Pelodiscus sinensis: one gene and its partner. The protein of the gene in region 2 binds, or shares a complex with, the protein of the main gene of each other region. Links are inferred from orthologs where the notes say so. Each region holds a gene or a part of one and is shown on either strand. Other genes may lie near its edges. The genes, in order: GYPC and MPP1.

What was found.
Region 1: the proteins of MPP1 (region 2) and GYPC are in contact, whole or in part, in an NMR structure (PDB 2EJY), measured with the Homo sapiens proteins. The link is inferred for Pelodiscus sinensis from reciprocal best matches to the Homo sapiens genes MPP1 and GYPC. Residues at the interface, in NP_002427.1 of Homo sapiens: Pro81, Met82, Gly83, Ile84, Leu86, Lys87, Leu88, Leu100, Val130, Gln134; in NP_002092.1 of Homo sapiens: Arg123, Lys124, Glu125, Tyr126, Ile128.

Annotation. Positions count from the first base shown.
Region 1 is NC_134717.1:4,075,529-4,090,729, forward strand, and holds the start of GYPC (glycophorin-C), read right to left. Parts: upstream 6,976-15,201; 5' UTR 6,505-6,975; coding exon 6,471-6,504; intron 1-6,470. UniProt on the Homo sapiens protein: This protein is a minor sialoglycoprotein in human erythrocyte membranes. The blood group Gerbich antigens and receptors for Plasmodium falciparum merozoites are most likely located within the extracellular domain.
Region 2 is NC_134723.1:779,620-794,501, reverse strand, and holds the start of MPP1 (55 kDa erythrocyte membrane protein), read left to right. Parts: upstream 1-7,979; 5' UTR 7,980-8,132; coding exon 8,133-8,234; intron 8,235-14,882. Other genes in the region: SMIM9 (small integral membrane protein 9), read left to right, coding at 2,254-2,383, 3,306-3,321. UniProt on the Homo sapiens protein: Essential regulator of neutrophil polarity. Regulates neutrophil polarization by regulating AKT1 phosphorylation through a mechanism that is independent of PIK3CG activity.

The DNA of each region.
Region 1 (15,201 bases), on a different chromosome or scaffold from region 2:
GACAAAACCACTATTGCAGGGATGTTCACAACAGTTCAAGAATGGCTTTACCATATGGTTCTCATCCCTCATTTTAAGAGGGATAAGGGATCTTTCGGAAAAGGCTTTATTTTCCAAAAGATCCGCGTCTAGACTGGCGCTTTTTTCCTGCAAAGCTCCGAGCCAGAAAAAAGTGGCAGCCATTTTTATGCTAATTAAGTGGGGGGGATTTAAATCCCCGCTTCATTTGCAATTGCGATGTGTCTAATTTGCATCCCTTTTACGAAAAAGGGATGCAGTCTAGACACAGCCATACAGAATAGGAAGTGACTGTCTAGGAAGGAGTCCTGCTGAAAAGGATCTAGGGGTCATAGCGGACCACAAGCTAAATATTAGTCAACAGTGTGACTTTCTTGCAAAAACCAACCAACGAACCAACCAACCAAACCCATAAACATGATGCTGGGAGTGTTGTGAGCAAGACAAGAGAAGTAACTCCGCTCTACTCTACACTGATTAGACCCCAGCTGGAGTATTGTGTCCAATTCTGGGCACCCCGTTTCAGGAAAGATGTGGAGAAATTGGAGAGGGTCCAGAGAAGAGCAACAAAAATGATGAAAGGTCTAGAAAACAAGAGCTAAGAGGGAAGACTGAAAGAATTGGGCTTGTTTAGTTTGGAAAAGAGAAAACTGGGGGGACATGATAGAAGTCTTCAAATACCCCCAAGGATGTCACAAGAAGGAAGGAGAAAAATTGTTCTCCTTGATCTCTGAGGATAGGACAAGAATTAATGGGCTTAAACTGCAGCAAAAGGGAGGTTTAGGTTGGACATTAGGAAAAACTTCCTGGCAGGTTGGGTAAGCATTGGAATAAATTGTGTAGGGAGGGTGTAGAATCTCCATCATTGGAGATATTTAAGAGCAGGTTAGACAGATTTCAATTAGGGATGATCTAGATGGTGTTTGGTTCTGCCATGAGGGCAGGGGACTGGACTGGATGATCTCTTGAGGTCACTTCCTGTTCTAGTATTCTAGAATTCTATGAATTCCCCCTAAATGTTTCAAAGTGGAGGCCGTGTTAGTCTGTAAAGTTAAAAAACTTAAAAAACAACAAATAGCCTTGCAGCACATTGGAAACTAACAAAAAATGTGGATGGTATCGTGAGCTTTCGTGGGCACACCCACTTCTTCAGATGAATGGAGTTTAAGGGGTTCAAGGTTCAAATAAACATTAGATCCTTTAACTCCCTGCATCTGAACAAGTGGGCTGTGCCCATGACAGCTCATGATACTATCTACATTTTTTGTTAGTCTCCAAGGTACTGCAAGACAATTCACTGTTTTTTTTTAAGTTTCCTCCTAAATGGTAAGAGCTATGACCACTACATTCAGTATACATTTCCCTCTTATCACAACTTAAAGGAACATAAGCGTTTAGTTGTGGCTGGAAAACAGGATGTGCCTGGAATGGGATTGAGTCTCATAAAACGAAACAGAAAAGAGACAGACTCACCAATGCAAGTACAAGCCTCAAAATTGACATAACTGAGTGACTGTTGAAAGAGACTGAACCAAGATGAGCCAAACCCATCGGATGAACCTTGGAATAGCACTGCTTCCCAATACACTGTACAGAAAAGAGGTAAAATGGAGAAATCTGGAGTAGTGTTCTGTTTTGCCAATGCTTAAGTTTTGAAAGCGAGAAAACAATGTGATTGGAAACCAAATTGGCAATAGCCCTTTTTTTGGTTAAAACACAGAGAATGGTAAGAGTTTATAGGAATGAGGAAAATACTCTTGATGGAATTCCCATTTTTGAAAAAAAAATGCTAAAATTAGCTTAATAAAAATAACACTGTTGTTTGTAAAATATAACCATTTCAACAAGGCATGTACATTATCCTTGATTTTTAAAAAAAATAATTGAGTTAAGGAGCCAAGCAATGCCTGGTAAATCTGCTAGGGCTGTATACGAAGAGAGAGGGAGTAAAAATCCCTTCTCATCAGGGCCGGCTCTAGGCACCAGCAAATCAGGCAGGTGCTTGGGGAGGCAAACCTACACTTTGCCAGGGGCAGCATTTCAGGTAAGCAACCGGTGCTGCCCCTGGCAACACCTAGCCCCGCCCCACCGATTTAAAGGGCCGCAGCCCGTGGCCAGATGCCACCTCTGTCTTCTCTCCTGCTTTTCCCCTCCCCCGCAACACCTAGCCCCGCCCTGCCCTGCCCACCAATTTAAAGGGCCACGGGAGATGGCACCATGTGCGAGCCTGCTGGCCGCCCCTGTTTCCTATTCCTGAGTCCTGAGTCCTTCTCCTCCCTGGTGGCCGCTACCTCCGAGAGCCTCTCCACTCCAAGCCATCAGCCATCCCTCTGCCTACATCATATGGAAATACCAGGTAAGATGCCCCCTTTCTGCCTAGGCTTGCCAGGTGTCCGGTATTTTCACCTCCTGTCCTGTAAAAAAAAATCAGAAAATACCGGACACCTGGCAAACCTACAAACACGCAGCCTGCTGGCCCTGACCCTGGCCTCTCCCCTCAGGCCCCGACACCCTCAGACCCAGGGACCTTTTGAAGTCTGTTCCTAGTATATTTCTCTTGTTCATGTTTGTAGTAGAAGTAGAACCAAACAAGAATCCAGCACACACACACACACACACACACACACACACACACACACACACACACACACACACACACAGAATATTAACTGTTCTACACTCTTCAAAGAATCACACATGCTGTTTCATAGATATTTTTTTAAAGAATTAAACTTTGTTGATCCGGGTAAACTTTTGTGTTTGATGTCTCCAAGGCAAGCTTCATTCCATATATAGTTGTATTGAGCACATACTACTCTCTACTCCCTCTAACACCTCATAAACTTGAATATATAATGGCTACTAGCAAGATGGACACACAAAAATAATGTGCATATGCACACCCACTGATCTCAGTTTATCTGATAACATAGATGTGTTGGAGCCACGTAAGGAGCCACTGAATTCCAAAACAAATCTAGTTTAACAATACAAATATTTATTGATTTAGTTTAGATGTCTTATGTGCTATAGTTATCATAATTGGTTGACAAGTATGTTAGCTGATTATAATTGGTTTGAAGATTGATTAAATATAGCCATAAACTACTTGGGTGCATCTAGACTGGCAAGATTTTGCGCAAAAGCAGATGCTTTTGCGCAAAAACTTGCCAGCTGTCTACACTGACCGCTTGAATTTGCGCAAGAGCACTGACGTTCTAATGTAAGAATTCAGTGCTTCTTGTACAAATACTTTGATGCTCCTGCTCAGGGATAAGCCCTCTTGTGGAAGAATACTTGTGCAAGACGGCCAGTGTAGACAGGCACCTTAATTTTTCGCGCAAGAAAGCCTAATGGCTAAAATGGCCATCGGAGCTTTCTTGCGCTAAAGCGCGTCTATACTGGGCACGGATGCTTTTGTGCAAAAGCACTTTTGGGCAAAAACATCTGTGCCAATCTAGACACTGTTTCGTGGAAATATTTTTAACGGGAAAACTTTTCCGTTAAAAGTATTTCCGCAAAATCATGCCACTCTACGCGCACCCCTTGAGTTTTAGATGTGGCACAAGTTTTCGCTTCTATTTTTTGGTACTTAGTTTATATTTCCTTAACCATTTGTGTGAATAGTTTTTCATGCATTCAAAGCACAATTCAAAAGTAGCCTATTTCTATAAGAACAATAAAGGAGAGATTGAAGGTACATTTCCCACTCTTGAAAAAGAGCTTTGTGTGAGCTGGAAATCTTGACTCTGTCACCAAAACAAAAGAAAAAAATTGCAATGTGGAAACGTGTAAAAGCCAACAAAAAGGGGTGGGGGAGGGGGCAGCCAAATTTTTTTTGCTTGGGCCAGCAAAAAACCTAGAGCCGGCCTTGCTTCTCTTTCATTAATAAATGCAAGAGAATAACTAGAGCATCCTAGCAATTAGGTTATCCAACACCATTCACTCAACATCACAAAACAGCTGTCATCTGGCCTGTCCAGCAAGTATCAAAAAATTAGTATAAGATATTTAACTTAGTCTGATGTATTGGGGATGCTTTGTGGATCTTTGCACTAGCTTCAGTACTTCTCATGTTGCTTACCAAGCAACACAACTTTGTTTTTGCTAGACACAGTCCCTCTCTGTTAAACATCTGTTGTCTGTTCTGTATTGTACCTCTGAACACACTGAACTTTAACTTCGCCTTGATTAGAAACGGACTGGTGCCAAAGCTACTGGCTTTGTGCCAGGAAAACAAAACAGGCCTACATGGAAATAGTGCACTGAACTTGCATATGGAGTCACCAGAAGGCTTCCCCTTTAATTGAATTTGGTGCTTGTTTTGTGTTTTAAACAATGTGGATCACATTTACTGTGATGCAAACTGAAACAGGATACCAGCACTTCCTGTCTGCATCTGCAGGAAAAGCAGCATTCGGAGAGTTGGAAAGCAGACAGTAACATTATTTCAGTTCAACACTTGGTTAAGGGGTGCACCTTTTACATGGAACCATCTGGAGTTATCAGTTGTAAAAAATGGTTTGCAAAGTCTGATATGCTCAGAAACTGAAAATGCCCTCTGAGGTGATATAGACAATGAGATGATTTGATGTACGGTTTTCTCCTTGTGCACGGTTGTGAGATGAGGACACAGTGAATTCATACATACATAAGTCAAATGCGAGGCCCAATTTTTTGAGTTGGCTTGTGCTTTTTTTAAACTTGTGGCATTCCACTGATTTCAGCAGAGTTATTCCAGCTAGGGGGGAGGGATAGCTCAGTGGTTTGAGCATTAGCCTGCTAAATCGAGGGTTGTGAGTTCAATCCTTGTGGAGGCAATTTGGGGCAAAAATTCATCAGGGATGGTCTTTGGTCCTGCTGTGAAGGCAGGGGACTGGACTCAATGACCTGTCAAGGTCCCTTCCAGTTCTAGAAGATAGTAAATCTCCATTAATTTAATTTAATCTACACCACCACGAGTGAGCTCGGACCAGAATCCAGGCCCAGGAGACTGTCTGAACTCCTTAGTAAAGGATGTAAATTGGGCTTCTGCGTAGCCCACAACACCGCACAATCAATAATGTGCATTTCAGCTAATAATTGTAACCCCTCTCCACATCCCACAAGGCATGTGGGAGCAATGGTTGCAGTAATTTACATGTCTGAAAAGAAATCAACAGATAATCCAGACACAGTACTTTCTTCCAAAGTATCCCTCTTTGCCTGAATATCTATTTTCCTTCACTAGCAGTAAATAAGGTTAAATCTTGTCAAAATTACAGGAACCAAAAAAAAAAATGATGGAGATAAATTTTCAGCTTTTAATTTGTCATCTACTTGCAAAAAGACCAGGGGAAAATAAAAATCCTTGCCTAAAATTCCAGTGGTTCTTTTCAATATAACAAACCTGCTCGCTCTTTTGATCTCATTCAAATCTTAGAAGACAATGTCAATTTCAAATTTCAGATTGTCTAGCGCCCATCCAACAGGTTTCAGTGGGGATCATCGGTTCAGTTTTGGTGGGTTCATTAAAAATACTATGCGGGGTTACCAAACTGGCTACATTTGAAATAAAATAAAAAATCTGTTTCAAAGCCCTCCTCTGAACTGTGAGTCTGAGTTTGCTGTCAGTTACACCACTGTAAGCAAACAACTTTCCATGCATCTGATGAAGTGGGTCTTTGCCCACGAAAGCTTATGCTCCAATGAATCTGATAGTCTATAAGGTGCCACAGGACTTCTCGTAGTTCTTGCAAATTTCCATTGATATCACTGGAATTATTCTGGATTTGCTCCAGATCAGAAACCGGCCCTCAATTTTTTTTAATGTTACCCCAAATATTTTACTATGTGCTGATTAAATGGCCATTTGAATTCCCTGGGCCAATTCTCTCATTCACCACTGAAGACAACAGACTTATGCCAGCATTGAATTTCCCTCTCCCCCCCCCCCCAATAGCCTTACTTGAGAGAACTAATTCAGTTGCCCTGAGATTGTGTTTCTAAGGTTCCCAAAGCAAAAAAAAAAGCATTGTAACTTTAAATATAGACTGACAGTTTTTGGCTTGCATCTCATATTACACACAGACGGCTTGGTGTCTCTAACTGCAAGCTAGGCGGTACCATTAATATCTCAGAAGAGAGACACTAAATCTTCCGAATGCTTATACTTTCATTCCTGAAGGGAAAAGCAGTTAGTTTATATTTTCTCCCAACGAGCACTTAGAATGAAATGTAACAAATTTCTGAATGTTACATGCAGGAATTAAACTTTGCAGATGTCTGTTTCGTGTCTCTCTGCTACCTCCAGACACACACCAAAGCAGACTGTTTCACCCCTAACCCTTTCCTTTAAGGAAATCCTCAGAATTGGTTTGTGAACGTCAACTGTGTTTAGAAGTCACCTGGTTAAACAATGGACGGGTACGTTCACGGTTCCTGCAAGGAGGAGAGGAAAGGAGGGTACTCACGTGATGGAGTTACTACAGAGTTTAGGGAACTCATAATGTACGCCTTCAGAAATGTTTTCTTTGCCTTGACAGCTTTTCTCCTCTGTTCAGAATCGCAGGCTGGAGAGGCAGGGAAGAGAGACGGCTGGAGAGGCAGGGAAGAGAGACCAAGGACCCAGGAGAATGCAGCACTTGTTCAGACACTCCTTGCTGAGTTCCTGACCCCTTTACAACTGGAAAAGGAAACAGCCCATGTGTCATTCTCTGCTGCCTTTCCAGCTCACATGAGCAGGGAGGGGCCCCCACTTTCAGATAGCTGTTTTCAAGTTTGACGTATCCCTGCCCTCTGCCTTCCAGGAACTTCGAAGCTTCAGCAACACGTAGAAAGAAAAGGCTTTTTAAAGGGCTTGGTTTCAATCCTGTCCAGCCTGGTATCCCGAGACGGGGACCAGCCCCGTGGATGAGGCATCCAAATTCCATTCTGGCTCAGAAACGTCTATGCCCAGAGATTCTCTAACTGTACCTCTCATTTAACTGGTATAAATCAGGAATAAATCCACTGAAGTCTGAGTAGTTTCACTGGTGTTAATAAGAGGAAGGAGGAAGTCAGGGATCAAGACACTTGGCTTGGTTTTCAGGAGAGTGGGGTTTAATTCCTGCTTCAAGCACATATTTCCTGCACGACCTAAGACAAGTATCTGAGTCTGTGTACGCCTCAGTTGCCTGTTGATAAAAGGGGGATGAAAATACTTCTCATCTCCTTATACTTTTTCTTTCTTGCCTATTTAGATTATTAACTCTTTAGGCCATCTCAGAGGGGAAACCCTTTTTTAAAACAATGAGCAGTTCTGTGGCACCATAGAGACGAAGGGTATGTCGACACTAGCCCCCTAGTTCAAACTAGGAAGGCTAATGTAGGCATTTGAAGTTGCAAATGAAGCCTGGGATTTAAATATCCCGGGCTTTACTTGCATCTTCCCGTCCGGGCGCTATTTTTAAATCCCCTTAGTCCGAACTAACTGCCCGTGGCTACACATGGCAGGCAAATGTTAACGTGAACTAAGTCTTTAGTTCGAGTTAACTGTTACACTTCATGGAATGAGGTGTAACAGTTAACTCGAACTAAGGACTTAGTTCGAGTTAATATTTGACTGCCATATGTAGCCGTGGGCAGTTAGTTCGGACTAAGGGGATTTAAAAATGGCGCCCAGATGGGAAGATGTAAGTAAAGCCCGGGGTATTTAAATCCCGGGCTTCATTTGCAACTTCCAATGCCTACATTAGCCTCCCTAGTTCGAACTAGGGGGCTAGTGTTGACATACCCAAACAGATTTATTAGGTCATGAGCTTCTGTGGGTAAAACCCACTTCATCAGATGAGCTGGAGTAGAAATTACAGAATCCAGGGTATGTAGAACAGCAAAAGAAGTTACCTGTCTATTGTAGGACTGGTGTTAATGAGGCTAAATAAGGGTGGATGTCTTATTTGCAGCATTTGCTGTAGAGATGTGAATATCCAACAAATTCAACACTATCAACGTAAGCTTCAATAACGAGCTTACCTGGTTAACACATTACAATGAGTAGTCCTTTGGCACCTTAGAGACTAACAAAAAAAATGGTATCATGAGCTTTCATGGGTGAAGCCCACTTTATCACATGGTAGGCTGGAAAGGAATAACAGAGAGTACACTGCATTGGAAAGGCAATTTTCCCTCTTTTGATATTCGCATCTCCACAATAAAAGCTGCGAATGAGACACATTCACACTGCCTTAATTAGCCTCATTAACACTGGTCCTACAACTGAGAGGTAACTTCTTTTGCTGTTATATATACCCTGGAGATTGTAATTTCTTACTCCAATTCATCTTATGAAATAGGTCATGAGCTGCCATTGGTAAAACCCAACGAATCTGTTACTCTAACTGGACTCCTCGTTGATCCTTCGGGCCGTGTTTTTTTACCGTGTCTGTACAGCATGTAGCATAGCATCTGATCTCAGTTAAGGCCTCTAGGTATCCGCAAAATACAGGGAATTTATTTATTTATTTGCTTGCTCACTCGCTCACTCGCTTGTACGTTCGTTTATTCGTTTATTCATTCATCTTGTTATGTATTTGTTTCTTTGCTTGTTTGTTTTATTAGTTCATTAGAATCAGAGTCAAGTGGCTTCATTAAGATCTGATCAATCCTCAGTTCTCAATGGACTGTGTAGGCCAGGATAAATTCATAGCATTCCTTCCTTGTCTACCACACAGTAACTGTCTGACTCAAAGTGGGGAGGGGAGGAGCAGAGAAAAGCGGGGACTGAAATGCTCCCTGTTATGCAAGGGTGTGTCAACGTCTTTCTGTTAAGTCACCTAAGGGACCGGCTGCTGCCTACATGGCTGTGTAGTTGGCTCCCGATACTTATTCAACAACGGTAGGATGGAAGGAGTGGCAACGTACATGCCGACTCCAAACAACTTAGCCTTGTTTGCAGGCACCGATACGGTAAATAACTCATAGCGCCGAGTTCAACAGAATCTCACGGTATGTAGAGAGCCCTCGGATACTCACTGGCATGCAGAGCACAGCAAAGCAAGGGCCACAGGGACAAAAAAGCCTGCTATGAATCCACTGGCTTCCTCAGATCAGTTTGTACCAGATTAAGATCTGACTCGCAGTGGACGGACACTGGCAATGAATGGCAGATAGTGACTAGAACTCTATTTACCGCTGTCTTCGGCTTTCCCATTCTGCCCCAAAAACCCGCTGCTCGCACAGCGCATTGTGGATCTACGCAAAGGGGAGGAAGGAGGCTGAGGTGGTGCCAAGCCCTTAGGGTGTGTCTACAGTCCTTAGGGTGTCTCTGCATAGCACCATAGTGTGGATGCAGCCTACGTCAATGAAAGGGGTTATTTTGCCAGTGAAGTTAACCTGCATCCATCTGTGTCTACACAGGGTAGCGAATCGACCTGCTCACATCACACAGGGTGCGAAAGGTTTCACATCCAGGAGCAATTTAATTTTTTAACCATAGATCCGGCCTTAGCCACAAATCCTGTCTCCATTCCCATCTGGACTAATTTCTCTGGATGCTCGGGAACTCTGTGGTGAGGATGGAATCTGATTTGCCAAAACAGCTGAGCTAGAATTGCATGCTCCCGGAGCGGAACTGGTTCAACATCTGCTTTGCTTTTTGGAGGGAGGGGGCAGCAGTTACCCCAACTCTGTGCGTTGTTTGGGGGAGAAAAGAGAATCTAGCCCTACAGGACAGGTGGTGGGGAGTCCCAGAGAGCAAGAAGGTGAGTGTCAGTGGCTTTTTCAGCACACCAGGGAACAGCCCCAAAGGGTCTTCTGTGACCTCACCCCTGTCTAATTATAGGGGCTTACCATTAATCGTGTTTATTACAGGAGTGCCCCAGGACCAAAGAAGAGCAGGGTCCCATTGTGCCAGGCGCTGTACAAATAGAGGAGTGGACAGTTCCTGTCCTGAAGGGATGATATGGCCCCCATTACTGTAGTACCACACAGTGTTCTTCACCATCTTTGCTCTACTTCACTTCCTAACACTGCTGTGAGGTAAGGGAACTTCTATTATCCCCATGAAGAACTGAGGCAAGACTGAGTCCTAGACTGTCAAAGTAACTCGTCTCTGAGCTTCCTCTGAAATCCACGGGAGTGAGGTACCCTCAGAGGAGTTGACCATAAGTGATTTGCCCAAGGAGGTCCACCGTACGTCTGTAGCAGAGTAATTAATGCAGTCTAGATCATCGAAGATCGCCCTAAACGCGGGGGTGTGTCTAGACTACACCTCTCTGTCGACAGAGAGATGTTGATTAGGCATGTCAAAATTGCTAACGAAGCCAGGATTTAAATATCCCATGACTCATTAGCATAAACATGGCCCCCGCTTTTTTTCTAAATGGTGTTTTTTCAAAAAAAAAACCCAGCCGTGTAGACGTGGATCTATCGAAAATAAAGCCTTTTTCGACAGATCCTGTAAACCTCGTTTTTTGAGGACTACAGGATTTGTCAAAAAAGGCTTTATTTTTGACAGATGTGCATCTAGACTGCCAGGTTTTTTTTTTTGAAAAAACTCCATTTAGAAAAAAAGCAATGGCCATGTTTATGCTGATGAGGCATGGGATATTTGAATCCTGGCTTCATTAGCAACATTGACGTGCCTAATCAACTTCTCTCTGTTGACAGTGGCGTAGTCTAGACGTACCCTGGAGCATCCTTCCTTTCTAGTGGATTTTTTTTAGCCCCACTTCCTGCTTTGCCACTGGGCTGGGAGCCCCTGCAAGACCGTGACTCAATCTGCAGAGTGTGGGGCCCACTTTGCAAGGCCCTGCCCTTCGGCAGAAAGTCAGCGATTCTGCGTCATGGTGGACCTTTTGTGTCCGCCAGCAGGGGAAGGGTCTATGAGCTTTAAAGGGGAGAGAGGCCTCTTTTCCAAGGAGCCTGGGAGAGGAATATTGAACGGAGAAAGGTTCAGTGTTCTCTCCCTTTGACCCCTGAGTCAACTGCCCTGAGGGAATAGAGGCAGAAAGGAAATAAGGAGCATGGAGGGAAGTGAGGAGAATCAAACACTATCGTTGGCCATGAATGTCTCCTTTGTCTGAACCCTCCTCTTGCGCTTACATCCAGCGGCTGCTGTGGCCAGGGAAAGTCGTATGGAGAAGGACCACTAAACCGCAGGTGAAAGCGTTATTTTGTCAAACATTGTATGTCTCCAGAGGCATCCGCTCTCTGTGGTAGCACAGGCAGGTTGAGCAGCCTGTGTGGCAGCCTTTCATGGGCTGATACCTGAGCCTTCTTGGCCCACAGAGTCTCCCAAAGAGGGAAGGCAATTTTTAACTGAATTTTTTTTTTGCCGTGATGGAGACATTTGTTCATTTGCCCATCTCCAAAGCTTTGAGAGCCTTCCTGAGAATGTCCTGTTTGCCTGTGTCTTACAAAGGATGACAGAGCACTCTGCAAATTAGGTGCCATTTTATTATAGAGGGGTCACACTGGTGTGGGAGTGGTCACACACACACACGCAGCCTATATCTTTGACCGCCTCACCTGCCCACTGCCCACTAATCTACCTGTGCCGGAACTACTTCTACTTCTAGTCCATACCACTGAAGCTGGTTCATTTGGCCTCCATTTTCTTAAATGCAATCCCCTTGATACCACTGGGAAAGAGAGACCTCAACCATTCCCATTTGGCTGATGGGGAAGTGATTTACTCAGAGTGACACAGGAAATCGGTGGCTGACCTGCGAGGTGAACATCAGTTAAGTGTCCTGTCCTTATTTCTAGATATCTTCAGTATTTATATTGCTGTCTTATCAGAGTGTTGAAGTACCTCATAATCTTTAATGCATTTATCCTCCCCATGTGCTTGGGAAGCAGGGCTGTATGATTGTCCCCATTGTGCAGATGGGGAATGGAGGTACAAGGAGATTAAGTGACTCACCCGCGTTCCCATAGGAATTCTGTGGCGAAGAATTGCAGTTCAATCCAGATTCCACTGGACTATGAATCTCTCTTCTTCTCAGGGCCCTGAGGAGGCCAGGGAAAGCACAGCACCAGTTGAGGCTGCTCAAATATACGCCAGTGGCTACACACAGGGCAACAGCTCAAAGCCACTGTTGCTTCCTCCACTAGCTCCTCCTCCTTGTCCCAAATGCAGCAAAAGTCTAAACTGAGAATCGGTGTGTCACATACTACCTGGCCCTTTTAGAAGTTTGGGGCTTACCTGTTACTTAGCAGTTATCTACGAGCTGACCGAGTGGTTGGTTTAATTCCATGATCGAGCTTTGCTATTATGGGGAATAGAAGTGGCCGGATCTACTTGTGCTGGCGGAGTGATCTCTGAGCCAACATCTGTTTCCTGACACATTGGATTGTTTCCATGTTCGCTGCCTCCCTGCCATGAAACTTGGGACATGACACTGCTAACACATGACTTATGGGATGTACTGCAGAAATGGTCAATCAACCTCATCTGTGACCTTTATGTGTCTCATTATTGGGTCTAATTACCTTCATTTAAAAGCTGCACACACATACAATGAAGCCTGTTGTTTCTAGAAGCAAAGATCTGCACATCATCATTAGAAAAGCTCACAAATACTGTCTCTGTGTTTTCTGGAGCCCAATTTGTCATGGGTGGCTATAATAACTGTGAGCTGCTTTTCTCACCACTGTGTATTCGTCTGCTGAAAGTCAGAACTCTTGAGTTAGAGCCAATCAGATACAGCTAAACTATGCCCTGGCTGCAGTAAAAATATGATCAGCATGCAATTTATTATTAGAACAGGTCCAGGCTAAATCTTCACTCACACCACCGCAGACACACACCTCCAATTTTTAAAACTTATTTGACTCCTGAACAAGGAAAATAAGAGGCAACCGATTAACCCGTTTTTAAAACATGATATAGTTTTAGCGGGACCCATTGGAACCAGTGTTCAAGGACTACAACATCCATAACGCTAAGTTATACACCAAGGATCCTGCCTCCCTTTGTCCCCCAGAATGGCCTGAGAATTTTGGCATTTTGATCAGTATGTTCTGAATGTTGTCTCTAAGCTCAGTGGAAATGTTGCCACTTGAGCAAACCAGGGTAAGTCAATAAGGGGAAATTTCCAAAGCACAAAAGTCACTAGATGTTGGCGTTACACCTAGACTCAGATCATCAATTCCTAACTCCCACGGAATTACGTAAGAACTAAGCACAAAGTCTAGGCTCCAGCTTTCGCTGAAAGTTGCTGGCCTCTGACTCCCATTTTTGTCTTTCATAATCCCGCCATCTCGAGGCTCCTGTCGTGCGATCGCTTGAGCTCAGGCGAGGCTTTATGAAGGGAAGCCCATCCCATGACTGAGTTAAGCGTCTGTGTGTCTGCAGGGCTGAATCGGATTTTGCTCTTCCTGACGTTAAGCAACTGATCGGCTCAGAAGTTTAACTATAAAAGGAAGAAAAAAACTCCATGTAAAAAACCGTGGTGGTTTAAAAAATAATACAGCTGTAAGTAGCAAGGAAAACGTCACTCGGGCATCAGGGCTACCACAGCGCTATTTATAATAAATCTAATAATAGGAATTGTGCTAAGACACAGGGCCAGGAGGTCGCTACAGATATTCACTCAGCGCTTTGTTTTTATCCACTGTAACTAAGTCCTTGTTTTAGCACAGAGAGGCCGTGTTTTCGGACGACGGGTTGTGACAGTCGCATTTGCACTGAAAGTCTCTCTGCTTTGGCGATGAATACGGAGCAATGAAAAGCAGACAGGTACCAAGACAATTGCCTGTGACTTTAAACAGAAAGGCTGTGTCTACACTGGCCACTTATTCCGGAAAATCAGCTGCTTTTCCGGAATAACGTGCCAGCTGTCTACACTGGCCCCTTGAATTTCCGGAAAAGCACTGATGAATAATGTAAAATCATCAGTGCTTTTCCGGAAAAACTATGCTGCTCCCGTTCGGGCAAAAGTCCTTTTCCAGAAAACTGTTCCAGAAAAGGACCAGTGTAGACAGCAGAGATTTCTTTTCTGCAAAAAAGCCCCGATCGTGAAAATGGCGATCGGGGCTTTTTTGAGGAAAAACACGTCTAGATTGGCCACGGACGCTTTTCCGCAAAAAGTGCTTTTCCGGAAAAGCATCCGGCCAATGTAGATGTGCTTTTACCGAAAATGCTTATAACGGAAAACTTTTCCGTTATAAGCATTTCTGGAAAATCATACCAGTGTAGACGTAGCCAAGGAGTATCTTAGGGCGCAGTTAATCTAATGCTTGCAGAAGTGATCGGAATCTTTGCAAGCCCTGCTTTGATAGAAAGCAGACCAATCAATGCCCTGTCCCTTCCGGCATCTGCATGGAGGGCATAGAATCCTAGAGCACTAGAACCGGAAGGGACCTCGAGAGGTTATGGAGTCCGGTCCCCTGCCCTCACGGCAGGACCAAGCACTGACTCCACTGGAGGCTGGCTGTGGTAGGTATCAGAGGGGTAGCCGTGTTAGTCTGAATCTGCAAAAGCGACGAGGAGTCCTGTGGCACCTTATAGACTAACTGAAGTGTAGGAGCATAAGCTTTCGTGGGCAAAGACCCACTTCGTCAGATGCATCTGACGAAGTGGGTCTTTGCCCACGAAAGCTTATGCTCCTACACTTCAGTTAGTCTATAAGGTGCCACAGGACTCCTCGTCGCTTTGGCTGTGGTAGGCGCATGAGAGAGCGGAATGGAGGAAGGAATCTTTTCTCCAATGCATGGGTGTAGAAAAAGATATAATTTGGTGCCTTTTTTTCCAGGACATTGGGTATCTTGCACTGGTGAGTTTAGAGGCGGATGGAGGCGTTGTCACTACCAAGATGGTATTATATTTTAAGTGGTGCCTTCTTCCGGCTTCCGGAGGCATCATTTAGCTCTTACGTAATAAACCATATCAGCATGTGCAGGCTTCCGATACTCCCAGGAGATACATGAGTGAGGTAAGCGTTCCACCGTCAGCCACCTCGGACTTCCTTCCAGTGCTCGGGAATATGCACTCGCTTGCCATTATCCTGTTGATCCTTAAACTCCGCGGAGAGATGTCGTCTCTCAGATTTCTCCTGGACACCAATTGGGGGCGGCATACGAAGTTTGGAATGTGCCCCTTCCACACCTACATTCATCCAACTTGCATGCCTGTTTATAACTTCCAAAGCCTAGCAGTCCAGGCAGGTCACAGGTAAGACCAGTCCCCTTCCTGGTGGACGAAAGAATCCAAATAAAGAT
Region 2 (14,882 bases):
AGACTGGGGCGGCTCCAGGGGGTCCCTGAGCCATGCCCAGGGCTGCCCGCCCACTGATAACCCCCCGCACCCGACAGCGCAACTGTCCAGCGGCACGCAGGAGGAGCAGGGGCAGCTCCCGCCCGGGGAGGGCTAGAGAGGGGCAGCGGAAGCGGTGGAGGGGCGGGTGCGGCCTGGGGCTGAGTGGGGGGTGAGCACCACCAGGGAAAATCAGAAGCCGGCGTGGGGGTCCCCAGGTTGCTGGGGTTTGAGAGACAGGCCCGACCCCCCGCAGAGAATGGCGCCGCGGCGGCCATTGGCCACGCTCCGAGCTGCAGGCTCATTGCTCCCCGGACGGGCAGGATCCCAGCTGAGCTGCCCCCAGTTCTCAGTGTGCCCATGAGAGCAGCTGGCCCTCCCCAGCTTGGCCCCAAGAGGACCCCGCCAGGGGGACGAGAGAGGCGCTCCGGCACCACGTCCCGTCAGCGCTGGGTCACTGTGCCAAAGCCCCTGGCACCAGGGCAGGCGAGTGGCCGTGGGCGGTGGCTGCGGAACTGCCCCAGCCAGTTCCCGGTGCTAGAAGGGGCAGTGGGGTTCTGCACGTTTACCCGGCCACCCAGTGCCCTCCACTCCCACTGGAAGCAGGGCTCAGAGTTCAGGGTTGGCGCTTTGATTGCTCCCGGAGAAGGAAAAGCAATCTGCCTCCAGGGCACTGACTCTCACTTATCTGCGCCTCGGGCTGCTCCTTGCAAGGGCAAAGGGCAGGCAGAGATGAGGCGCCTGCAGAGATAAGGGCACTCTAGCACCAGGGGCCGTGGAGGAGGGTCCACAGCAGCAGGAGGAAGAGAAACTGGATCAGACTCTTCATGTTTCAGCATAAGTGCCAGATATTGGACCTTTTCTAAATCTACTTTTATGAAAAATCTCAACTGCTTGGGTCAGCACCAGCCCCTCCAAGTCGCTGTTCAAAACTCCTCGGAGAAAACCCCAACATGTAACCAGCAGTATTAGGGTCTGTCTACATGGGAATACTCAGGAAAGTGAATCTGAATTAACTAAAGGTGTAGATAAGTGAAACTCATCCAGCTGCTGTGTTGACACTCTCGTTCAGGATTCAAGAGCCCGTCAGTCCATTTCGCTTCACTCACACAATTCAATCCCACCGCAGCAAGGCCATGTCCATGCTGAACGACAGGCTCTTAATGACGTTTAACTCACCGACTTCAGACGTTAATTTGAATCAACTTTCCTGGGTGTCCCCAGGCAGACGAGTCTCCGGGGCGGTTCCAGGCTTTCTGAAGGCCCGTCAGGCTGTTTCAGCTTCCCCCAGACCTGCCTCTCAGGTCCAAACCCTAGCGAGACGGGACCCCCCGGCTCCTCTTCTCTCGCCAGCCTTGGCGCTTCCCCTCGGCAACGGGGGCCGGGGTAACCAGCCCCACTCCGGCAGAGTTTGCCTGGCCCCTTCTGTGCTCCCTTGGTTGTGCTGTGGCTGTCAGCCTAGGACGTGATCCTCCAAACAGTCTCAGACAAAAACCCAGAGGTGCCTTTTGCTGCCCCTCCTACTGGGGCACGGTGTCTACCTGGGAGTCTCACCCGTCCCCTCACAGGCGCTCGGGTTTGGCTGTCTCCCCTGCGGGCAGGCACCTGGCCTCCTGCCCTGGAGTGGCAGCTCCGCTGTCAGGCTCCCCAGAAGGGGATGTTTCAAGGCCTCCGCCAGCCCTAATTGGATTCAGACATCCCAACGTGACCTGAGGTAACCCCTTCTCAGCTTAGAGGCGCATGCTCCGGTTAATCCCTGGCCTTCCAGGAGCCTCTTGCAGGCGTCACTGCGCTCAGCCCGGGGTCCCGGTTCATGTGACGCCGGCCCAGCAGCCTGCCAAGAGCAGACACATGCATCAGCATGCCAGGAGGACGTGTCCGCAGGCTCTGCTGTACAGAACCGTCGGGCATGGGCAGGCAAACGGCTGGCAGGCCTCGGGCGGGCACTACCAGCTGGTCTGCACTGAGACTGGTGACCAAGGGATGCAAGGTGCCCTGGGCCTACCCCGAAGTCCCTGAGGCGCAGTCAGGCGCCGTCTTCCCTTGCTCTGGGGCTCGGGAGAGACCAGGTGGGTGAGGAGCCGGCTGGGCCCTGGGGAGGCAGCAGCGACTCACCCCCGGGTGCTCTACGGGCTCTGAGGCAGACAGCAACGGCCCCTACCTTCCCCGGGACACCCTGCAGCCGGTTCGGTTCCACCGCGCCCCTTTCGCTGACGAGAACGTGCCCCTCTGCAGGAGTCCGCAGGTCCTGGCTGGCAGACTACACGGATGACCTCTGGATCCATGTCCGGGAGTCCTTCCCCCGGGTAGCTCTGTACGCCTTCCCCCTGGCCTTGGGGTTCATGCTCCTCCTCTGCTGCATCACGTAAGTGTGCGCCTGCTTCGGAGCACAGGCCGCTGCCCCGCTGCGTCCCCAGCCCAGAGCCCTGCGTGGCCGCTTCCTTCCTTTGCCAAGGCTGAAGGCCTGGCTCCGAAGGCGGCGCGGCCGCAGCGCAGCGGAGAAGTAAGGGCAGCAAGACTGAATCACGGCGGCTGCGGCTGGGGCTGCCTGCCTGGGGAGGGGCATAAACAACTCCCGACACCCCAAAGGGGAGCCAAGCCAGCACCGCTGAGAACCACTGCCCAGAGCTCATCCCCAAGGGCAGGAGACAGCTTTCAGGGGCCAGTCTGAGACTGGAATGAACCCCAGGGACCGCGGCCGAAGTTCAGCTCCTTGGCCTGCCTCGCTAACGGAAATGCATCGCTCTCCTCCCCCGCCGTAGCAAGACACCCCGGGGAGAGGCTGGGAATAAACCGCAGGGGCCAGGGGCCAGGCACGCAGCTGGATGTGCCACACTAGGCGCTCGGGAAGGAGGGTGAGGTAACTACTCAGAGCATCCATGGCTGATGCGGCCCCGCCCCCGCTCCCTCTCTTCGGAGCCTGTGTCCCGGGAGACGCTTTGACGGGGGTGGGTGGGAACAATTCGTTTCCTTTCTTTGAAAAAGCGTTTGCAGGAGCCCGAGCACTGTGCCCTGCTGTGGGGGAAGCCCTGAGCAGCCTCCTTCCATTGCGGGTGTGTGGCCGGAGGCTGCTCCCCGGGGCCTGGCGCCACCTCTGAGAGGTGTGTGGTTCCAGTAACCCTGGGCAGGCCTTCGCTTCCGGGTCCCACAGCCAGAAGCAGGGTCCCCTCGGGCAGGAGAAGGGTGTAGCCACAGCACGTCGCCCCTTCATCACCGTCATTCCGCCTCCCAGCCCCTTCCCCGGTCAGTCCTTCGCTGAGCGACCTGCCGCTCCTCTGCTCTCCCAGGGTTCTTTTGGACTGAGGAGACCAGACGCGCTTCCGCAGACGTGCCCATGTCCTCTCCGGCCTGCGAGGAGACGCCAGCCGGGCCCAGATGCTCACGGCCCAGCCGGAGGAAGCCTCCCCAGGAAGTTCGAGGGCTGCATGTTCCACAGACAGATCCCTCTGTGCTGTCACTACCACTGCAGGGCTTTATTTGAATGAAGAACTTTCTCCCAACAGCCACATTGAATTCCGTATTTCCAAATAACTCCTAGGGCTTGTCTACCTGGTGTGGCAGACCAAAGGCAGCGGGTGAGGAGTTCGGTCCTAGTGGGGGCCAGGAGGTGGGCGGGCGGGTGTGCAGGAGGAGTTTGGTGGCGGGCAGGCACACGGGTAGTTGGGTGTGTAGGTTCATGTTCCCTCAATAGGCTGCCAGAGACAGCTTCTCAGCCAGGAGGTCAGACAGGCACCTGGGACTCCTTCAGAGACTAGGGTTGCCAGATGGTTTAACCAAAATACCAAACCCCCTCCCCCCCCAAAAAAAAACAGTTGAGGAAAAAAAGGGGGAGAGACCAAAGTTGTTGAGAAAAAAAAAGGCTCCAACAGTTACTAAGCAAAAAAATAAACAAATCAAACCCTCACAAAAAAAGCCAGCATAGCCCCTTTAAGGCTTTTGGGGTTTTTCTTACTCTGTGCAGGAAGAGAGCTCCCCTGTGGAACCAGGTAAGTAGGGAGCAGAAGGGACTTGGGGGGGCTGGGAGGGGCCAGGGGGCTGGGCCCGGTTGCTGAGTGTCACAGGGTTGCCAGGTGTTTGGTATTTTCACCTCCTGGCAGGGGAAAAAAAATCAGAAGATGCTGGACATTTTAGGTGTCTGATTTTTGTACTGTCCCTATGCTGGCGTAGACCCGCCCTACGCTGACAGGAGGGGCTGTCGGTCAGAACGCCACCTCGCCACGCAAAGGCAGCTGAAATGTTCTAGCTGCATCTCCACTGGGACTGAGAACAGCCTGGCTCTGGCAGTCCAGGGGGTGGAGACCTGAGGTGTCATCAATGGAACGTGTAAGGCCAGGCCTGAAATAATGTTCAAGTGAATTAGTGAGATCACATTAAGCCCGTGTGGATGCTTTTCTTCAGAATTAAAGTGACCTGAACAGTTTAATTCTTAACTGACATCAAGTTTCATTAAGTCACTTCAGGGAATTAAACTAAACTGAATTCAGGTCATTCTCATTCTGAGTAAAAGCATCCACACGGGTTTAATGTGACTTGTGTTGCCCAGGGGTCTTTCAGTGCAAAGGTCTCAGTAACTTTGCTCCATGCAAGGATGCGTCAGGAAAGAAATCAGGGAAGTCGTGGGCGTCCGACTGATAGATGGCACGCGCAGGACAGCACGAGTGCTTCCACTTGCAGCTACGCTTTACTTAGCACGGGCACGTCTGCAGCAGGTAAGCAGAACACCCCACACTCAATTGCTGGAGTTGGCTGGTGCTCCATGCCACAGCGGCGGCTTTCCAATGGCAAAGCGTCCATCTGCTGGTGGGACAAGATGTGTCCAGAGGGAGAGGCCCAGAAGTGCCCCCCCCCCCCACACACACTTTTCTTCCCTGTTTTCATGAGCAGGCCAATAACAGGTCCTACTTCCGGGTTCTCTTCTGATCCTCCATCAGCAGATGTGTGTGGGCATGGTTTGCAGGCCCTGTCGGACACACCCCTGGGCACAGAGACAAGCTCCTCCCTTCTGACTGCATCTCAGCAATTTCCACGTCAGGAAGGGTGTAGGGTCAGGCTGCCCTTTCTGTGGCACCCAAACCCCCTCCCCTCCTGATCTGGTCATGCTGCAGCCTAGGCCCATGTGCAGCCTGTTAGCTTGGCTACTTGTCAGCTCATCTTCCTGTGGGACCCTTACCAGCCCATAGATCTGCAAAGCCTGCCCTGCCATGTCCCATTCCCTGATGGGCGCCTCTGGCTTCTCTCCAGCTCAACGTGGCTCTGCCCTGTAAGAAAGAGGGTTTCCTGCCACCCGTGGCTCACAGGCACTGCTCAGGAGCCCCACAAAAGAGCTTACAGAATCTTTGCTCCATTCGTTTACAAGGTGCCTTTGTAATGGGATAAGCCCTTCCCGGCTGCAGTTCTGAGTCGTGGTACGGGTCCCTCCCGAGCAGGCTGCGCTGTGACGTGAGGGACTTGTACCAGCCGGGGTCCCGGCCAACGCCAAGGTCTCCTTGCACTAGACACTGCGCAAACACCGTGAGCTCTCTGGGACATCTGCTGTCTCCTGCTATCTGAGCAGACAAAACAGGACGGGTGGGAGGGGAAGGATTTGCACAAGGTCAGTGGAGGGCTGAGAAGAGAAGCGAGGTCTCTGACTCTCCAGCCAACTCCTGTTCTCCTGGATCAAACGCCTCTCAGCACTGGCAAGGTGGCACCCCCGACGGGAGAGTCAGGAAAGCCCCTTGGCCCGCAGGGGGATGGGGCAAGCAGAGGTTTTCTGACCGGGCCTCTAGAGACGGGTGTGAATCAACCCCCCAGATCCGAACAGCTCGACTTCAGGGAAGCGGGGCTCAGCATGCGGACCTGGCTGGGCTGTGGGGCGGGCAGATCTCAAGTCCTGTCCACGCTGGGTCTCGTGTTGCAGTCTACGGCCCTGTAGCCGTGTGCCCACATGCCTGGCAGGGCGGAGCAGGGGCTTGTTTTGTTGGGCTGCCATGCGGGGACCATTGGGACTCTGTTCAGAGGCTGGCGGCTTTTTCATTTAGTGCTGGGCAAACATTTTCAGACTAAACTTTTTTCATCAAAAAAATGCAGGTTTGGGTCCATGGAAACATTTCACAAATTGGCAGCGAAGTTCCCAGCTGCTCTGGAGGGAACTCCCAAGAAGACTGAAGTGCCCATTCGGACACTTCCCCAGTCCGGACAAATGGCATTTCAACCTCTCCTCCATTTCAAAAAGCTTTTACATTCTCAAAAATGAAATGAAATGTTTAATTTGACCCCCAGGGATTGGGGGGGGGGACTGGGAGAGTGCGGGTGTGGGGGATGGGAGAGTGGTGATGGGGGGGACTGGGAGAGCACGGGAAGGCGGGGGGCGCACGGCTGGCTGGGGGCAGGGAAGAGGAAGGCGGGGGGGTGCGCGGCTGGCTGGGGGCGGGGAAGAGGAAGGCAGGGGGCGCGCGGCTGGCTGGGGGCGGGGAAGAGGAAGGCAGGGGGTGCGCGGCTGGCTGGGGGCGGGGAAGAGGAAGGCAGGGGGCGCGCGGCTGGCTGGGGGCGGGGAAGAGGAAGGCAGGGGGCGCGCGGCTGGCTGGGGGCGGGGAAGAGGAAGGCAGGGGGTGCGCGGCTGGCTGGGGGCGGGGAAGAGGAAGGCAGGGGGCGCGCGGCTGGCTGGGGGCGGGGAAGAGGAAGGCAGGGGGTGCGCGGCTGGCTGGGGGCGGGGAAGAGGAAGGCAGGGGGCGCGCGGCTGGCTGGGGGCGGGGAAGAGGAAGGCAGGGGGCGCGCGGCTGGCTGGGGGCGGGGAAGAGGAAGGCGGGGGGGCGCGCGGCTGGCTGGGGGCGGGGAAGAGGAAGGCGGGGGGGCGCGCGGCTGGCTGGGGGCGGGGAAGAGGAAGGCGGGGGGGCGCGCGGCTGGCTGGGGGGAGGGAAGAGGAAGGCAGGGGGGCGCACGGCTGGCTGGGGGCAGGGAAGAGGAAGGCGGGGGGGCGCACGGCTGGCTGGGGGCAGGGAAGAGGAAGGCGGGGGGGCGCACGGCTGGCTGGGGGCGGGGAAGAGGAAGGCGGGGGGGCGCGCGGCTGGCTGGGAAGTGGGGGGGCGCACGGCTGGGAGGGAAGCGGGGGGGGCGCACGGCTGGGGGAGAAGCGGGGGGGCGCACGGCTGGCTGGGGGCGGGGAAGAGGAAGGCGGGGGGGCGCACGGCTGGGGGAGAAGCGGGGGGGCGCACGGCTGGGAGGGAAGCGGGGGGGGGCGCACGGCTGGCTGGGGGCGGGGAAGAGGAAGGCGGGGGGGCGCGCGGCTGGCTGGGAAGTGGGGGGGCGCGCGGCTGGCTGGGGGCGGGGAAGAGGAAGGCGGGGGGGGCGCACGGCTGGGAGGGAAGCGGGGGGGGCGCACGGCTGGCTGGGGGCGGGGAAGAGGAAGGCGGGAGGGCGCACGGCTGGGGGAGAAGCGGGGGGGGCGCACGGCTGGGAGGGAAGCGGGGGGGGCGCACGGCTGGGGGAGAAGCGGGGGGGCGCACGGCTGGCTGGGGGCGGGGAAGAGGAAGGCGGGGGGGCGCACGGCTGGGGGAGAAGCGGGGGGGCGCACGGCTGGGAGGGAAGCGGGGGGGGCGCACGGCTGGCTGGGGGCGGGGAATTGGAAGGCGGGGGGGGCGCACGGCTGGGGGAGAAGCGGGGGGGGGCGCACGGCTGGCTGGGGGCGGGGAAGAGGAAGGCGGGGGGGGGCGCACGGCTGGGAGGGAAGAGGGGGGGGCGCACGGCTGGCTGGGGGCGGGGAATTGGAAGGCGGGGGGGGCGCACGGCTGGGGGAGAAGCGGGGGGGCGCACGGCTGGCTGGGGGCGGGGAAGAGGAAGGCGGGGGGGGCGCACGGCTGGGGGAGAAGCGGGGGGGGGGGGCGCACGGCTGGGGGAGAAGCGGGGCCTCCCCATCAGCCTCTCTCCGCCCTGCCGGGCTCTCCGGGCCCCGGGGGCGCGGCTCTCCGGCGGGGCGGGGCGGGGGAGTGACCGAGCCCGGCGCCTGCCCCTGCGCTGCCCGGCGCGTCCTTCTTGCGCGGTTCCGCAGCCCGCGCCGGACCGAGCCGCTGCAGCGCCCCCGGCCCGGGGACTGGAGCCGGCCAAGCCCCCGCCCGGCCGGCTGCAGCGAGCCCGACATGACGCTCAAGTCCAGCCGGGGCGCCAGCGTGGGCAGCATGCGGACCGCGCTCTCCGACCTGTACCTGGAGCACCTGCTGCAGAGCCGGCCCAAGGCCGAGGTGAGGGGCGCGGCAGCCGGACTCACGGGGCAGGGCGCTGGGTACAAGGCGACTGGTGCCGGGGGCTCGGGGCCCGCTCACCAGGCCGGGGGGGGGGTAGAAGTTGCCGTAAAGCGCCCCCCCCGCCCAATGCTGAAGCCCCTGCCCAGGGAAGGGGCAGTTGCAAAGCTTGTTTTGGACACAGACTGGGGGGCACCCCCCACAGCACCTTTGGGCCCCTCCCTGCTGGAGGGCGCATGCTGAGCTCGGCCTCCGGCTCAGGGCAGGCTGTGCCCCCCAGTGCTGGGAGAGGGGCCCAGCAGAGGAGCCCTGTGGCATGTGCCCTGAGCAGCACCCGCCAGAGAAGGGGGGGGAGCCAAGAGCAGCAGCAGAACACGAGGTGGGTGCCACGACCCACAGCCTCCTGCAAGCGGCTGCCCTGCCTGCTGCGTGCAGAGCTCGGCCCTTCCCCCAGGCTAAGGTCCCCGGGAGCTTCCTGCCTGCAAAGGTGGCCCCAGGGGGACGCTAACAGCTCCCTGTGGTGCTTCTGGTGCTCGTTAACGCCGCTGGTGCCTGCGGGCTGGGATGCTGGTGCTGCTGGGGGCTGGCTTTGCAATGCACCGAGGCCAACACTGTCAGTGCCTGGGTATTTATCACAGTGCCAGCCCAAGCAGCCCTCAGCGGTGGGCACCTGCCCTTAGATGTCTAGTTCTGAGTCGCTAGCTCCTGCCTTCCCTGGGTGGAACTGACGTGCCGAGCGGTTTGGGGTACAGGTGTGGCATGGCACCGGTCCCCCCCACGGCTGGCGAAGCAGGGCCAACTAGAGCCTGGCCCTGGGGCTCACAGTGGCTCTGCACCACTCCGTTTCTCCATCTGCACCAGGGGGGAAGGGTCCCACTCCTGGTGTGCTCTGAGATCCATGCTGGAAGGTGTTTACTGCAGCATCTCTCGGTTCTTGTTCTCGCCCCGCGCAGCCTTGCAGCCTTTTCTGAGAGCCACACACAAGGGTTGAGGCTGGCTATGGCAGCCACTGCTCTGCACAGCTCCAAAGAGATCAGCTGTTAGCGCTCCACTTTGCTTGGATCCCAGCCCCGGCAGAGCCCAGGGCCCGTCTCTCGTGTGAATCCGGAGCGACTCCCGTGAAGACAGCAGCATTAGAGTGGTGTGAAACTAGAGTGGGTGGCATCAGGGTTAGAGGCAGGGGTGCCGTGGCTGGGAGTGGGGGGGTGGTGCTCTGTGTTACTCCCATGTTACCTGCCTGGCTGATGTGGGGGCAGCGTTGATCAGTTCTGGAGAGGGACAGGTGCCATGGAGGGAGGTGGCATTCACTGGCCCTCGGTCTCGGAGTGCGGTTGGGGGGCAGCTGGCCCCGAATCTGTCGGGAATGGCCCTGTTCTGTTTCTTGCTGAGCGTTTCGTGGGCGGCTCTCCTCTCCTCTCCTCTCCTCTCCTCTCCTGGAGGACAGGCAGCGGGAGGGGCATGTCAAGCTGGCTTGGAAGAGGATTTGCCGTTTTGGGGTTGCCGAGCGGGAGGAGGGGGCTGCAGCTCCAGGCAAAGACGAGGCTCTTTCTTGTTTTTGCTGCAAAGTGCAGCTGGTCTGAACTGGAGCTGCCTGTCACATGAGCTGCTGTAGCTGCTGAGCAGCCTCCACACGCAGGTCCCCGCGCCAGGCTGGAGGAGACGTGGCAATGGGCTTCAGCCACGGGAACAGGCCACTGCGTGGCAGTGGGGTGGGGAAGGGAGCCTCTGCAGCGGCCGCATGCCCAGCGGTCAGTCGGGGAAGCCTGTGCACTCCATGGAGCCATGAGTCTATCCCGTGAGGCGCTCGCCTGTTTGGCCCAGCAGTACCTGGGGAGGGGGGTCACTCGCCAGCTGCACACTTGAGCAATGAGGCTTCTGGTTTTAAACTCACACAAGCAGGGAGGAAACTGGAGACCAGACTGAAACTTTATCCTTAACCCACCCTGTTGTGCAATAAGCCATCCCCTCCCCCCTGAGTGAGTCAGTGAGCTTTCCGCCAGAGCCCTGGAGTCTCTGGCTGGAGGGTGGGTTTGGTGTGTCACTCTTCACGGTTCCTGCCCCCGGCTCACTGCCCCAGATCCCACAGCCGGCTCCACCGGGGTGCCGTGGCCTCAGACTGCAGTGGCGCTGCGACTGGACCCGCTCGGAGTCTGCGCCCCCGGGTTTCCTCTTGGTGCCCTGCTCTGCATCCGCGGGTCTGTACCCTTAGGAGCCGCAGATGCCATATGGGGATGCAGGGAGCGAGGCATAAGCAGTGGGGCTGGTGGGGAGCTGGGGGGCACGGGGCTGCTCTGTTTTCCTAAAGGTCTCCTGGTGCGTCAAGGCATTTGGGACAGGCCTTGGCCCAGAGCCTGCAAGGAGCCAGCTGTTTCTGAGCCCAGGAGGGACGTTGAAATACGCGTATTCCTGTGAACCGGAATTCTGAAAATCCGTTGGAGCTGAGCAGGACGCTTTGCTTGAGGAAATCCAAGCTCCCAAGTGGCGTTTTGAACCCGGTTTGGGCCTTTCTGGGTAGGAGCAAATTGCAATGAAAAGCCATTTTGAAACGGGAGATGAAATGTTCTGCTCTCACAAATTCATAATGGGCAGGTTCAGCCTCCTTATGATGCTTTTTGTGTGGAACGTGCGCTGAATAGTCGCCGCGGGCTCCGTGCTGTGTCCCAGCCCTCCGGACGGGTGGCGAAGGAGGAGGGTCCCCGGCCCCTGGCCCTGCTGCTTAACCCTTTACTGTGCTGGGCACATGGGTGGGGTCTCCAGGGCTTCCCTGGCTCCTTGCTGCCTCCTTTTCTCTCTCCAGCTGTGGGTGGGCACTGCAGCCGGGTGCTCTTCCCTCCTCTCGGCCCATTGAGACACAGAGCCTCTCCCAGTCCGTCAAAGCCCCCTGGCTGCAGGTACCACATTGGAAGGGGCCTGTGCCCCCAAGGAGCCCTGGTGATCAGTAACCAGCTGGGGAGCTTGAGCTGTCTCTGTGCACAGCTAGCAGGCCCAGGGGAGAGTAGCTGGGTTGTGCTGTTGTGAATGGCTTGCTTACGGCTTGGGAGGGGGAAGACAGCCTGTGCCCTTAACTGGGCTAGTGAGGCTGGGCGGGTCCCCGGGCCCTCTTGGGGCTGGCACTGGGGCTCTGGCCTTGCCCTCCCTCCCGGGTGGTGGATGGATTCTGGGAGGAGCGGCTGTGATGGAGCCAGGCGGTCGCTCGCTGTTCCTTGGGTCGCTGTACCAGCCCGAGAGCCCCGGGGAGCTTGGCAGCCTGGGTTTCCCATGGGAGTCCTGGCTTCCAGCCAAAGCTGACCACGCGGAGGCAGGTGGCTCCATCCCCTTTCGGGCATGCAGGGGGCAGAGCGGCTCTTTGGACAAGGTGAATGATCGAAGTGCTGGGAAGTTCATGGTTGATAGCCTAGCGGTGGGGGCCTCCTTTGCTATGCTGGGGCTGCTTGTGCCTCTCCTCCCCCAGGACTCGTGTGCCCTGGGGGGGAGGGTGGCTGGGCCTTTCCAAGGAGTCTCCTCTCGCCAGCCCATTTTACAGATGGGGGCTGGATTCAGACACTCCAGAGCTTGATCATCTGACTGCTCTGCCTTGCTCCCAGTGGGGTGCTGGGCAGTGTTCCATGTGCAGAGGAAACTTTATTGTGTGTGCCAATGTGCACCACCAACAGGAACACACGTTAGCAGCGGCGCTCTTCTAATCAGCTGGATGGCATTGGAATCTCTTAGTGGCCGCCCGGGTGCCCAGCTGGCAGGGAACCCTGGTGCTGGGGCTGGGTTGGTACCTTGGGGGTGGAATGGATACAATTAGAGAACACTAGGGCTGGAAGGGCCCTCGAGAGGTCGAGTCCAGTCCCTGCCCTCATGGCAGGACCCTGCACCATTTACCATTCCTGACAGATGTTTATCTAACCTGCTCTTAAATATCCCCAGAGATGGGGATTCCACAACCTCCCCGGGCAATTGATTCCAGTGTTTCACCAGCCTGACTGGCAGGAAGTTTTTCCTGATGCCCAACCTCAACCTCCCTTGCTGCAGTTTAAGCCCCTTGCGTCTTGTCCTCCTTAGCTTCTGAGGACAGACCAATTTTTCTCCCTCTTTCTTGTGACACCCTTTTAGATGCCTGAAAACCGCTCTCCTGTCCCCTCTGTCTTCTCCTTTCCAAACTAAACGAGCCCAATTCCTTCAGCCTCCCCTCCTAGCTCCTGTTCTCTAGACCTTGAATCGTTCTCGTTGCTCTTCTCTGCACCCTCTCCAGTTTCTCCACATCTTTCCTGGAATGCGGGGCCCAGAACTGGACACAGTCCTCCAACTGAGACCTGCCCAGCGCAGAGCAGAGCGGAAGGACGACTCCTCGTGTCTTGCTCCTGTGAATGCCGCCCAGAATCACATTTGCTTTTTTTTGCAACAGCATCACACTGTGGCTGGTATTTAGCTTGTGGTCCTCTAGGACCCCTAGACCCCTTTCTGCAGGACCCCCCTACCCAGCCGCTGCCCATTCTGGATGTGCTGCACCCTCCATCCCTTGGCACGTGTGGCCCTCACAGGCCTGTCTGCAAAGCCCCACGAAGCCCGGGTGTGCAGAGCAGCAGCACTGTGCCCGAGAACTGAGCCTGGATCTTCAAAGCGGCACCAGGTGCCCTGGGCTCTGGCCTGAGCTGGGTCCCAGTGCACCAAGTGCGGCACCACCCCTTGCCATGGCTGCCCGGGTTCTGCTGGGCCAGCATTCGGGCTGTACTTTTGCTGCCACTGGCCCCTCGCAGGGCGCCCGGCCAGCACCCTCCGAGGCAGTGGAGAGCCCTGCATGAGCAGCCGGCTCTGCCAGACCCTCGTGGCCCCGGCTCTGAGGATCAACAGGCCACACAAGGCCCTGCTGTGGAGCTCTGGCTTTGCAGGAGGTTTGCTCTGACCAGGCTGTGGCACATCCCCTTAGCCAGGCCTGGCCCAGCCCCGCTGCCTGGCCCCTTTGTCCAAGCCAGCTCGGAATGGAGGCTTTTCGGTCTTGTTCTTGGGAAGCTCACGGTCGCCCGTTGCCTTGCTGCGGCCTGGAGATGCTGCTTGGCGGGATGGAAATGCTGCGTTTACCCACCCGCGTGGAAACGAAGCCAGCACGGGATCGGGTTCCTGACTGCACCAGCCCTTTCAAACTTCCCCTTTTCTGGCGTACGCGGAGCGCAGCCCTGGACCCGCTTTGCTGCTGTGGTCGCTGCTGCCGCCTGACTGCGTCCGGCCAGCCCCAACTGAGGTCCCTTTTCCAACCCTTTCTCCAGGAGCCAGGGCTAGCAGTGTACTTGGCTGCCACTGTCATGTAGTCCTGGGGCTCCGGTAGCTGGGGCCTCGCTGAGTCCTGCCAGACTCAGACAGCTGAGAGCTTTGCGTTGCCAGTCCCTGTAACCCTCCGCGCCTCGTGCTTTCCCCTCTGCTGCGGCGTCTGCTTGGGACCCGCCTTGATTGAACCCAGGTAGAACACCAAGGCCGGCGCCTGTTTAACCCCAAGGGGCTGGCCCTGGCTGTGTGTGGGGCTGTTAGCCCAGCTGCCCGCAGCAGAGCAGCTGGCTCTCCTGTCCCTCTTTCTTCTCCCCTGCGCTTTGCTTTTCCCAGAGTCGTTTCAGCAGGGCGGGTGGGGGGACGGAGGAGAGGTTGGGAGCAGGTGTGCGGAGCTCCTCCTCCATGAGCTGCCTCTGCCCCCGGCTGCCCACTCCTGCCTGGGCTCGTGCTGGTCCTGTCGTGCCGCCCCCAGGGGCGATGGTGCGAGTACAGTCTGCCTGCCTGCTCGTGCGAGACTCCCTCTAACTTCTAGGGCCGTCCTTTGGGGGAAGAGCCAGTCTTGCGTGAGCAGCGGCTGCTGCTGGGGAGTCCAGGCAGCCTCAGCAAACTGGCCCCGTGGCTAATTACCCTCGTCGTTAAAGATGTTCCCATATTTCCAGCCTGCTTTGCCTCACGTCCTGCCACTGGGCCCTGCTTGCGAGACGGGTGAGCCCATGTTCAAACGTCTGTGCCCGGGCCGGGATCCAGCCCTGTCACCTTCTCGTAAGCTAAATCGATTGAGCCCCTCGACTCGCTGTCTCCTCCTTTGCTTGTTCTCTGACCCTGGCAACCGCTCAGTCTCCTTGGCCCCAGATCCAGATGTGGGTGTCCCAGGGCCGAGGGCCGAGATAAAAGAGCCCCCCCCCTCCTGCTCAGGATTCCCCTGGGGATGCTTCCAGGCTGGCATCTGCCCTTCTGGCCACCCTGTCACAGCAATAGTCCCCCTGGCCCCCCATCTCTGTCGCTGCTTCCTGGGAGAGTCCCTGCCCCATCCCAGGATTGCCTGCTTTGTGCAGCTGCAGCCGTTGGCACTGAGCCGTGTCCAGAGCCGCGTTGGTGGCTTGGGCTGACGGACTGCCTGGGCAAAAGGCTGTGTAGCGCGGCAGCCAGTGAGCGCCCCAGCTGCTAGGCTGCTGAGCAGCTACTGGGCAGGGCATGTCGCCCATTACGCAGCTGGAAGCAAAGGTCGGAGCGGGGGGAGGGGAGTCCTAGGCTGCCCCCAGCCGGATCCGCTGACGGGAATGTGCTGAGCCGGGTGCTGGAATCCTGCTGAGTCAGTCGCCCCGCGATAAAGGGGAAGCCCTGCTGACTCGGCTCCCTGGAGACACTTTGAACTCTGGCTGGGCGCAGGGAGCCTGC